Linked DNA regions of Coturnix japonica. The protein of the gene in region 1 purifies or fractionates together with the protein of each later gene. This does not show direct contact. Links are inferred from orthologs where the notes say so. Each region holds a gene or a part of one and is shown in the gene's direction. Other genes may lie near its edges.

What was found. Proteins that work in one complex are often made in the same cells at the same time.
Region 2: the proteins of WWP1 (region 1) and SPART purify together in Homo sapiens (affinity purification with mass spectrometry; 5 studies listed by BioGRID and IntAct, counting the BioPlex papers as one, with this or other methods). This does not show direct contact. The link is inferred for Coturnix japonica from reciprocal best matches to the Homo sapiens genes WWP1 and SPART.
Region 3: the proteins of WWP1 (region 1) and RNF11 purify together in Homo sapiens (affinity purification with mass spectrometry; 3 studies listed by BioGRID, with this or other methods). This does not show direct contact. The link is inferred for Coturnix japonica from reciprocal best matches to the Homo sapiens genes WWP1 and RNF11.

The regions. Positions count from the first base shown.
Region 1 is NC_029517.1:111,484,342-111,487,987, forward strand, and holds part of WWP1 (NEDD4-like E3 ubiquitin-protein ligase WWP1), read left to right. Parts: intron 1-1,467; coding exon 1,468-1,627; intron 1,628-3,646. UniProt on the Homo sapiens protein: E3 ubiquitin-protein ligase which accepts ubiquitin from an E2 ubiquitin-conjugating enzyme in the form of a thioester and then directly transfers the ubiquitin to targeted substrates.
Region 2 is NC_029516.1:154,378,316-154,382,421, forward strand, and holds the start of SPART (spartin), read left to right. Parts: upstream 1-1,289; 5' UTR 1,290-1,414; intron 1,415-4,106. UniProt on the Homo sapiens protein: Lipophagy receptor that plays an important role in lipid droplet (LD) turnover in motor neurons.
Region 3 is NC_029523.1:21,407,694-21,412,136, forward strand, and holds the start of RNF11 (RING finger protein 11), read left to right. Parts: upstream 1-1,626; 5' UTR 1,627-2,092; coding exon 2,093-2,215; intron 2,216-4,443. UniProt on the Homo sapiens protein: Essential component of a ubiquitin-editing protein complex, comprising also TNFAIP3, ITCH and TAX1BP1, that ensures the transient nature of inflammatory signaling pathways. Promotes the association of TNFAIP3 to RIPK1 after TNF stimulation.

The DNA.
Region 1 (3,646 bases):
CCCAAGACACGGGATGTGAAGCTAAGAAACAGCAAGGGCCTCCTTGTAATACAGATGAGAATTCTGAAATAAATGCTCACATACTGACTTGCTCATGCAATACTGTGTTAACACAAGTATTGAAAGCCACTGCACCTGATTAATCATCCTGTCTCTTAGCAGGCTAAACTCTGCGTGTGTCCCCTCCAGATTTTTACCTTGTTTGGCAGGACCAATCTGAATGCTTTATCCTGCAGCTAGTTCTAGCTGTTAGCATGAAAAAGATGCTGCTTCTACAAATGTCTTGCTGATGACTAATGTCATTGTTTCTTTTCTTGTTATCTGGCTGTGATATAATCTAAAAGTTTATTAAATTTGATACTGCTATACAGAGTTAATGTTGTCTCAGTACAAAACTTGCATAGAATGGCATACAACATTCTCGTGCTTATTAAAAGATGCACAGAACCTAATTAGGGCTGTGGTATCCTGGCTGCCTTTCTCTGTTTATTCTTTCTAAATAGCCTCTCAGTTAGAAGTATAGTTTATCAAGGCGTGATCCATGACTTAGATTTCATTGAACTGTTTGGAGAAACACATCTGCAAACCTCTCATTTTTATTCCCCAATTTCAGGTAAATACAGGGATAGAAAAGACACCGTAGAAATGTGACAGCTGAAAGATGGTCAGAATAGAATTCTGTTCCTTCAATTGTTACAGGATAGACCTTTCTCCTTTTGCAGCTTTTCCATAGCCCTTGGTTTTCAGTTTAAAGTGCTTAGGGTCTGGTATTAAAATCCTAGAGTATATATGTCTGCATTTGAGGTTACTGGTTATAAGCCTTATAAAAATGCTAAAAGTGACAAATATTTTAAACATCAGATACCTTGATACAGAAATGCCAGATTCTATTATAATTTCAGGTCAGCTGAGTTGGGATCTATGAAACCAGGGAATAAAATGTATTAAGCCTCAACAAAAAAGTATTTTCACATCGTTGTGTCCTGTTAGCTTAACTAATGCACGGTAATTTGTTAAATTGCTGTAACTCGGTGTTTGTTTTGCTGACAGACTGGGAATGGAAATAAGATGATGTTGGATTTTACCTGGATTGTTCAGAACTTTCTAAATAGAGATTTGAGTCAATATGCAGTAAAGCAGGCATGGTGAGGGTGGATTCCGTGCAACTAATGGGCAGCTAAAACCTAAGCTGTGAGAGTGTGTTCAGGGTGAGAACAATCATTTCTAAATGCTGGAAATGGAGACTTTGTAGCATTCTGTTTTTTATGGATCGATTGTTTTTATATCTAAAAAGTGTGTAAAGTTTTATATTTTTATATGGTTGTAATACAACTCTGTTTATATTATTTTTCCAAGTTTGCATATATTTTGACCATTTCATCAGATGCTTAAAGGGAATGATGATAAAGATGTGTCCATGTGTATTTGATAGTTTTTATGTATATGTGTTCTTTTTTTTTTCCATAGAGAATGGTTTTTCTTGCTTTCCCATGAAGTACTGAACCCTATGTACTGCCTGTTTGAATATGCTGGCAAGAGCAACTATTGCCTACAGATAAATCCAGCATCAACAATCAATCCTGACCATCTTTCATATTTCTGTTTCATCGGGCGTTTTATTGCCATGGTAGGTTAGAGTTTTAAAGTTTTATTGTTTCTTGTATTTATACAATCGTTTCTGAAATAGGAAATTCAAAGTAACATTTTAATTTTGTGAATTTGATGTGTGTACTTCATGTAAACAGTTGCTTTGTTATCTGAATACTCACACTCTGAAAAATGTGACTAATTTTTGTAAGCAGGTTCCTCAGTTAGACTTAGTACATCTTGATGTGTTAGAAAAAATGAGTTAAAAACATATTGCAGAGTACATTGTATCCAAATGTGTGTTTAAATTAAGGTTCAGAGGTTGCATACATGGAAAAGCAGAAGCTTTCAGGGGAGTTTATAGCATCCCGAATCACTGCTATCATGTTTCTCCTAAAGCTGTAAGCTAAGCAGAGATGTTACATCATTTCTCCTTGTATCACTGAGTCAGGTATCTCTAATGGAGTCTTGCTAGAACATCTTTTTCCTTCCTTCTAGTGATAGAGGGAACCACAGTGCCATTTAGCAGCAAGATGTGGAGAAGCAAATTATTTGCTAGAATTAAATACTGTCTATTTTTGTAGTGATTTTTGTTCATAGGCACCATATAAATGCCTGTTAACTGAGAAATCTACCTCATTTGTAGAAGAGAATGAGAATTTAATTCAAGTATTTAAAGTCATTAATAATCAAACTTTTCTGTCTTGAAATTGTTTATTTTCATTTTAAATTCTGTAAGAAAAAGAGACTGATATAATAGTGCCTAGTGTAGATGGTTTCAAGGTTTGAATGGCACTAACTGCTCCACTTCCTGAATACCTTCTAATGACTTAAAATAGCTCAAGCAGTAACCTAAATGTGAATCATTTTTAGTGTTCAAGATGGTTGTAATAAGTGCAGTTATAACTTCGGTTTGTCTCAGAATTCTAGAAGACTTGCTGCTTTCAGATCATAAAAACTTAACTTGACTTTAAGTATTGAAATAACCACAGACATTTTTGACTGCAGCTGAGTTAAATGTAAATATATGTCTTGTATTACTCTGTGTTACTCTCTTGTGTTACACTTAACAAAATGAAATTGTGAAATGGTAGTTGATACCTGCATGACACAATTGTTATGTTTGCTGTGAGATTACCGTAGCTAATAAGTGAGATGATTTAAGAGTGTACTTCTACAAAATCAAAACAAAACAAGCAACAGGAAATCATATGGCTGGGTAATGCTTTAGGTGTTTATTTTGTCCAGTTCTACTAGTTCACTCTCCCATGAGAATTATAGATTAGCTTAAAAGTAAACAAACAAAATAAGGCCTCATGCCTTTTTCATGCCTTCATGCATGGTAGAGTAATCCTCAGAGGGGAAATGAGAATGTAGTGCAGTCAAATGGAATGTTGACTTTTTCTGGAGAAAATGGGCTGTTACACTGGTGCTTTTTCTTACTATTTCAGTTTTAAGGAGTGTCAAGCAGTAGGCCATACTGCAGCCTATTTTTAGAATGATTTAGAATATACTTGCAGCCCAGAAGGCTGATGGTATCCTGACTTCCATCAGAAGAGGGGTGGCCAGCAGGTCCCCTTTTATTCTGCTCTCACAAGGCCTCATCTGGAGTAATGCATCCAAATGTAGGGCCCTCAGCATAGGAAAGATGTGTAGCTTTTGGAGAGGGTCCAGAGGAAGGCCACGAAGATGATCTGGAGTCTGGAGCATGTCTCCTATGAAGACAGGCTGAAGGAACTGGGTTTGTTCAGCCTGGAAAGGAGGAGGCTGCGAGGAGACCTCATTGCAGCTGGCCTTCTAATATTTAAAGGGAGTTTATAAATATGAGGGAAATAACTTTTTACATGGGTAGATAGTGATGGGACAATAAGAAATGGTTTTAAACTGAAGGAAAAGAGATTTGTATTCAATATCGGGGGTAAGTTTTTTACTGATAATGGTGAGGTGCTGGAACAGGTTGCCTAGAGAGGTTGTGGAAGCCTTGTCCCTGGAGGTGTTAAAAAGGCCAAGTTACATGGGTCCCTGGGCAGTCTGATCTAGTACTTGATCTAGTGATTGT
Region 2 (4,106 bases), on another chromosome or scaffold:
ATTCCCGCTCTGCTTTTCTCTTTTCCAGGCTCAACAGATTCAGACTACTCAGCCTTCCACATACAGGAGATGCTACAGGCCCCTCATCACCTTTGGGCCCTCTGCTGGACTGTCTCCAGAAGACCCCTATCTTTTCTGAACTGAGGAGCCCAGAACTGCACACAGCACTCCAGATGTGGCCTTACAAGGGCAGGGCAGAGCGGAGGATCACCTCCCTCGATCTGTAAGCCACGCCACGTATGATGCACCTTAGGTTCTCCTTGGCCTTCTTGGCCATAAGGGCACACTGCTGGCTCATTGCTGCCCACCAGGAGAGCACCTGTACTAGGTTCAACTAGGCCTGAAATCTTCAGTGTGGAAAAGTCCAGCTGCACAAAACTTTTAACATGATGGTCAGTGACACATAAACAACGAGCTGCCGGATTATATTCACAGAATCACAGAATCACAGAATGACCCGGTTGGAAGGGACCTCAAGGATCATGTAGTTCCAACCCCCCTGCCTGGCAGGGCCACCAAACATACACATTTACTAGATCAGGTTGCCCAGGGCCCGTCCAACCTGGTCTTGAACACCTCCAAGGACGGGGCATCCACACCTCCCTGTGCAGCCTGTTCCAGGGCGAACCACTCTCTACTGAAGAACTTCCCCATAACATCCAATCTAAATCTTCCCTCTTTAACTTAAAACCGTTTCCCCTAGTCCTACTATTGTCAGACCTTTCGAAGAGTTTACTCCCTCCTGGGAGTAAGTTCCCTTCAGGTATTGAAGAGCTGCAATGAGGTCACCCCGCAACCTTTCTTCTTCTCTAGGCTGAACAAGCCCAACTCTCTCAGCCTGTCCTCATCGGGAGGTGCTCCAGCCCCCTGAATCATCTTCGTGGCCCTCCTCTGGACCCTTTCCAAAATCTCCATGTCTTTTGTACTGAGGCTCCACACCTGGACTACAGTACTCCAGATGGGGGCTCAAAAAAAGCAGAGAGGGACGATCACCTCCCTATCCCTGCTGACCACCCTCTCCTGATGAGGCCCAGGATCCCATTTGCTTTCCGGGCTGCCAGAGCACACTGCTGGCTCATGTTAAGTTTCTCATCTATCAGGACCCCTAGGTCTTTTTCTGCCGAGCTGCTCTCAAGGAGCACACCTCCCATTGATTCAAACATCAGCCGTGATATTTTTGGTGTCGTGGAGATGCAGCAAGCACACTACGTCCCTTTCACAGAGAACAGCCTCTTTCAGGCACACAGCCTCGCCCCCACGCAGGTCCCATGGACAGCCCAGGCGGGGCCGTCCTGCGGCGGGGCATGGACTTGGGGCACAGCCCGGGCAAGGCCCCGCCCCGAGCCGAGGGCGGAGCGGCTGCCGCCGCCCGACTACAGGCCGCGGTGGGGTTGTCCGGCTGTTAACTGCCTCGGTAAGCGCGACTGGGGGCCGGGTCCTTTCGGAGAGGCTCGGCTGTAGCCGGCCCGGTGGGCTGAGGTGAGGCGGCTCGTTCGGCTGCGAGCGGTGGGAGGGCGGCCGTGGGGAGGCGGGGCTGCCCCCCGGGTTGAGCCCGGGGCTGGTTGTGGTGGTGCTGCGGGCTGAGCCGGGTCGGGTACCGGCTGGTGCTGCTTAAAGGGAGCGACGGGGCCGGATCATTCCGGGTTAAAGTGTCGCTGAGAAGCAGGTATCCTGTAAGCGGCTCGGTACGGAAGTTGAGGTAGAATTCCCTGCTCCGTGTGTGCCGCCTGCTTTGAGAGGTTCGGATCGGGGTGGCCTTGTGTTGTTTTTATCTGCTGGTGAGAAACCTGTTGGTGATGGCGGGGGGCTGGTAGGCCTGCTCGTAATTAAAAGCGTTAAATAACAGTCTTGCGTAACTGCGGACCTTATTGGAATCGTTTCCCTTTCCCGGAGAACACGAGATAGTGATGGTGCCTTTGTACGCAGTCCGGGCCGCCAGCTGCCCCGCCGTGTGCTCACTTTCCGTTCCGGAGATGTGCTGGGTTGGCACTTGAGAGCTGACAGCTCTGCCCTGACACCCTGTGATGGGAGCTCACACTATGCACGGCGTCAGGAAGAAAGTTGGTTTATGAGGAGAAAATAGGCTTGAGACAGCAGAGCTGAGAGGAGGGTAGGAATGACCGTGTCGGGTCAGATCGCTGGCTTTCGTATTACCCAGCCCTCAGTGCTTAAATATCAGCTGTAGGCCACCACTTAATGAAAAATTTAAGCGCTACTCTGAAGAGGCTAATTTAAATAAGCTACAAGGGGGGGAAAATAAAAGAGATGAAGTTGATCAGCTAGTATCTGCTATGTTCAACTGAATCCTTTGTAACAGTTGCGCTGGATCAGTATGTTCTCAAAAGTTACTGATGCCTTAATTGCTTTTTATTAAGATTAAGGCTTAAATAGTTCTGTCTGTGTTGTAGTTCTCCTTCACTGTCTTCATCTTTGAAATCAGCAGCTGACAGATAAACAGGTGACATATCGGAAGATCTCTGGATTAAGGGGTTGGTTTTGTTCTCCCATAGCCGCACCTACAAATACAGGGAGCTGGATGGCATATTCTACCTCTGTCGGTCAGGATATTTAATCCCCTTAATAAGCATTAGGCGTCTTGTTTACGTTTTCACAGTTAGAACCACAACCAAACTGCATTTTTAAACTTTTTTATTATTTTAATGGAGTTTGCTGCATTAGAAGAAGGGTGGTCAGCCAGAAAGCTGAGGTGCCAGCTTACAATATCAAATGGAATCTGATATTGTAAGCTGGCCCACATTGCCCCACTGCCCTCTAGCATCCCTTGGCCAAGTCACTTGGCACCAGACAGTATATCTGTAATGATGTTGGAAGGGGGCTGAGGAATGAGTCAAGTGCTGGTTTGATCTGTGATTATCTACCGTGTTCATCAGCTCTTTTCTTAGCTCTCTTTTGAATCAGCTTTCTCAAAGACAAGTTCCTGTGAGTCTTACTGAGCACTAAGAAAATATCTGGCCATCCAGATCCAAAGGCTCAATTTTGGAGCTCTTGTATTTAACAGTATGCACTTGGCCATTTATCCTAGCTTTAAAACATAGGAAATAACAATGTACAGAAATAGATTACAACATACTGGGCATTTAAATACTGTATTAAAATCATACACTGAAAAAGATAATGACGACTGATATTCCTTGCATATGATCAAGAAACTACTTTGACTTCAGGAAATGTTTCCTCTTGTATTCTGAGGGAGCAACCCAGCTGGTTTATTTACTTCAGTATACCCACCATTATTTTGTATTGATTTTAATTCATTTTTATTTATTAAATTTATACACTTGGTTATAAACTGACTTTTAGTTTTCCTGTATTAAAATCAACTGTGAATCCCTTCCTCTGTTCCTAAGTGCATTGTCCCACAAATGAATAGTTTGGCTCTGACTGCTGTACACGCAGCACAAATTTGGGATGTTTCAGACAATCAGAGATGAGTTAACAATGCTCCCACTCTTCTGAGCTGCTAAGCCTGTTTTTGTATCTCCGTCACACATGGCCATGCAGTGCTGCCTTGTATGCACTGGACCTGCTGACATCTCAGTTTCCTGACACGTCTTTTATTTCGAGTTAACAAAGATTTTGCTTTAGTGAGAACAGTTCTGTTGACAGTGCAGCGAGCATATAGAGTGGTACTTTACTATTGCTCACTCTTAAGCAGAAATACAGCTGTTACTTTTGCATTTCACTTGTCACTGTAAAAGAAGACAAGGTATTAATTGTTAGGAAAAGTAATTACTTAAAATCTGGATAGTATCTTTGCCTTAGCTGCCCTAACAAAACCAAATCAAAACACACGGGGCAAAGCAGGTGATGATGCTGCAGTGTTTGTTCACACAGGCAAGTAGTTACTGCCCTAAGCAGGGACTTGATTAAATTCACAGGCTCTAAAAACGTCAAAATGCAGAGTGTTGCTCATAAAGAAATTAACTGTGATGTTGGGTTAAACTCTGACCTTCTTTATTGCTCTGTTAAGTCTTTTCTGTTCTGGAAGCTTCAAATAATTTTTAGATCAGTGTTCTTCACTGTTGAGCTGTCTTTATATCCTCTGTAAAAGAAAAATGATTTTCAGTAAATGCGAGTGTTGATGC
Region 3 (4,443 bases), on another chromosome or scaffold:
TTGTGAACAGAATTCATTTCCACTCTCCATCTTCAAGACCACTTTTCAATTTGTGACCTGATGGTGCCCAGCCACTGTTAACCACCAACCCAACATAGCAGCAATAAATGGCATGGAAAAACAAGGGGCTTAACCCACCCCTACTTCGAAGAGCTTGGTAATGACTGCTAATTGCTCTTCCTCATTCAAAGCTACTTGGCCTACATGGAGCTACAGCAACTACACACACTGAAGCTCTACAGAGAAAGAGAAATAACCTTAAACAGTACTAAGGAAGGTTCAGGTTGGATATTAGGAACAATTTCTTTTCAGAAACAGTGGTGACACATTAACACAGGCTGCCCAGGAAGGTGGTGGAATCACCATGCTTGGAGAACCATGATGCTGTGGGACTGATGGACATAGTCAGTGGGCATGGGGGGAACGGGTTGGGGTTGGACTTGTGGAAGGGGTCTTTTCCAGTCTGAATGATTTTATGATAAAATGAGAAATGGTGGTAGAATAAAGATATTCTTCTCATTACCTGTTATCTTGTCAGTGATGCCACCACTGCACAGCTGAACGTCCTCTAGCTGCGCCTTAACCCACCACAGGATCCTGCAGAAGCAGCTCTGACATTGCTCTCACCTTGAAGCTACTCTTAAGAGAGGCAGTGACTCCTCTCCAACCACTGCTTACCTTCTTAATTCTCCTATTAACCGAGTCAACATATTCCTGCGATAAACATTCACACCCTGTACAGTATTCATTGTGAGTTACAGCACACTATTACAAAGTGTTTCCATCACAAGCAACACTCACAACTCAGGCACTACTTCTAGCTTCTTAGGAAAACCTTTTCCAAGCCCTGTAAACGCCAACAATATCTTCTCTGTTGCTATAGATTTCATACTGAAAGTGCTTAAGTCACCCAATAACCAGCAGCAAAACAAAACTCTCAAACAATAATAAAAGGAAATCCTCAAGGAGGAACTCACGTGGATAACAAGCAGCAGCACAGCTCCCCACCTTCCAAGCACTAAAGGGCCTCTCAAAGGTCTGAACAGAGATGGAAGAGCCAAGTACCAGCAGCTGGCTTAAAGAACTCAGATGGGAGCCTGACACAGATCAGCTGAGACACCCTTGATTAAAGCCGGCCATGCTTTATTGCTTCAGGACCTAATTTCTAGTTGCTGTCACCTGTGTTGAATTTGCTTCAGATCAATATTCAGTGGCCTGAACCTGATGGGCAAGAAGGCACTATGAGGATCTGAGCTGGAGGAAACCCTTAAATGTGCCTTAAGAAACATGTTTCCTTCATGCTGCGTTGGTGTGGTTATGTTAGAAGGGTGCCGACTTCGCACTGTGCATACAACTGTATTTCACTTTAAAAGTTTATCTTCTCAATTGAGAGGCTGCACACACCGTTACATCAATCACGTATTGCTGTAGCTCTCATCACCTCCAAGGCCGCCTCCGCACACAAAGAGCAGCACGGCCCGGCCCTCTGCCCTTAGCGGCTGCCGGGGCCCAGCGCGGGGCAGGAACTTCGGCCTCCGGCACAGCTCCGCCCCGAGCTCAGACGCCGGGTCCGTCCCGCACACCGACAGCTGCGGGGCGGAGCGAAGCGCCGCTCGCTGTGGGGCCGGAGGCGGCCGGCCTGGCCTCATTGCGCCGGGGCGGGCACAGCTCCCCGGCCGCCGAGCGCGGTGCCGCCGGGCCCTACGTGCGCGATCCCGGCGGGGCGGAGTGAGAGGAGGAGCCGGGGCGGCCTGTGCGACAAAGCCCAGTGCGCAGAAAGCTGGTGACCAGGAAGCGGAACGGCACCGGGCTGCCGCGGGGCGGGGGGCGGGCGGACCCCACCTGAGCCCCGCTGCCCCAGCGCTCCCGGGCGGGAGCCGAGCCCTGCGGCCCCACGGCTCGGGGCCAAGTGCGGCCGGCGCTGCGGGGCGGCCGTGCTGCCGCTAAGCCGCTTAGGGCCGGGCTGGCATGAGCCTCCCCGGCGGGGCGGCTGCGGGCTGCGCGCTGCGGGGCGGCTGAGGGTGCGGAGCCGTCCGTCGTAAGGAGGGGGAGAAAGCGGAGGGGACGCCCCTGCTCCCCGGGGGGAAGGAAAATGGGGAACTGCCTCAAGTCCCCCACATCAGATGACATCTCGCTGCTCCACGAGTCCCAGTCGGACCGGGCCAGCTACGGGGACGGGGCTGAGCCGGATCAGGAGCCGCCGCCGCCATATCAGGTACGGGAGGGGGCGGGGAGCGGCGCGGCGGAGCCGGTGGGGACGGGGACGGACGGAGAGGGGCACGGGACGGGGGGGCGGGTTGAAGCCCCGAGGACCCCCCGGGGCGCTGCACAGCGTCCGTCCCCGCGGGCACCGAACGGCGGGTCCCGGCCGTGAAGTGAGGAGCGCCGCTTTGTTCCCCGGGGGGTCGCCGAGCTGTCGCGGGGCCGCACGGACCGTTCGGGACACGAAGCCGGAGACGGCGGAGGGGGGTCGGGGCCCGCCCAGGGGTCGGAGCCGCCTCGATCGTGTCTGGATTTGGGCTGAAAGCAGGAGGGGAAGGCGTCGAGTTTCCAGCCGTGCCGCTTCCTTTGTTGTCGTCGCGCGGTGACATCACTGTCTGTGCCGCTCTCGGTGCTCCCCGCACCGGAGGCCGCGCGCTCGGCGCTGCCCGGCTTTGTCTGCGGCGCTTCGGCAGCAGCTGAACCGGAGTAACTTCGTGCTGCGGGGTGAGCCCGTTTCTTTCAGCTCCGTGCGGTTCCAGGAAGGGCCGTTCGCTCTCCTGCCTGGAGAGGATGTGTACATTGACGGCTGATGACGAGCTGGGGAAGAACGCCGGGTGCTCCGTCACGTCCTCACAGCTGTGGGGTCCCGGCACAGCTCTGTGCTGTGATGGCCACCAAAAGGACCCAGGGCTGCATTTATCCCCTGCTTCATCTCCATCTCCTAAGGAAGGATTGTACGTGGCTCTGAGCAGGACACGAGCCCTGTCTGAAGGGATCTGTAACAGTGACAGGTACAGATGAGTCCTGCGCTCCTTAGGGTGGGGAGTCACGCAGGAGTTGCAGACCTTAACGTATTATTAACAAGGCTGCAGGAAGTATTTAGCAGGGCAGATATTAACCTGTGATACTCGACGAACACCGGCTGTGACAGGAGGTCCCTGGGTTGCTCCATGGGCACAGCAACCCTTGGTGGAACCATGCTGGGACCACTGGGCCCTGCAGAGCTGCTCGCTTTATGTGACTGCTTCATGACAGAACAAATTCCCTAAGATGGGTTGGGTTTTTTTCCCTGACTTTTTAGTAAAGTCTGCACAAGTCCATTAAATAAAGATGTGTGGTGTCAGGTTTTTTTGACAGGCGATGTTCTGAGCCAATCCTGCTTGTCCCTCCTGTTTGGGAACGCAATGAAAATTGTCCCTTGGAAAAAAACCTGTCGGCTCTTGCAGGAGTTGAGAAATTGCACTGTGCAGGCCTTCTCCTGTCGACTTCAGAGCACAGCAGACAGTAAAATAAGCAAACTCGCAGACATTTGTTACTGTGTGCATTCATAGCAAAACTCCCCCAAACCCCACGCGCTGATCCCAGCAGATCTCAAACACTCACTGTAAGGGGCATCTTGTGTTGCATAGTCAACATTCAAAGATACTCGCTCCACAAATAAAGAAACACAGTGCTTTGTGATGACAAAAGACCTTCACCTTCATACTTTGCAGTATTCCACACGCTTTGAGGTTGAGGGGGGTTGTAACTTCAAATTGTTTTGGGGTGAAAAGGTGTGCAAGCCGAGCGCTGAACCTGGGGAACTCCTGGAGCTCCATTATTGCTGTAGTGGCAGCAGGATGTTGTGATCTTATCCTCTTCCTTGCCTGCCTTCCTCCGCAGGTCTGCATGTTCTCTTACACACTTTAATTCTCATTCAAACATTGTAGAAAGTATCACCTATAAGGACAAGAATCCCACATGCCCATTTCTAACACTGAATCTGAGCTATGATCTGGAATTTAAAATAAGGCCAAGAGTTTAAAAACTTGTTTGTGGCACCTACTGCTGCGCACGAGGAGCTGTGGACGATTAACAACTTAAAACTGAGCTGCTGGAGCCTCAGCCATAAAATGGCTGCATTTGGGTTTGCTTCCTTTGGGTTTGCAGCAACGATGTGCAAACTTCCTGAGCCGCTCTCTCAAGGTGTGCTAACAAGCAGAGCGAAGGAAGCTTGCTGGGGTAGGTGCAGCGTTGTAGACAGGACTTGTGTGTCTCTTTGAGCTAAAGTCTGTGCTATCTTGATACTCAAAACATTTTCTGTGTCTTGGCACGCTTGTTTTGTGGGTGTCCATATGGGAATCGAGTTAAGCAATAATTTTTTAAGGTGTTCACTTCTAACTGCAAAATAGGCACCTAATAATCTCTTCACTGTTGCATGCCAAACTCCTTTTCATCACTGAGTGCTACTGAATCTGCTGT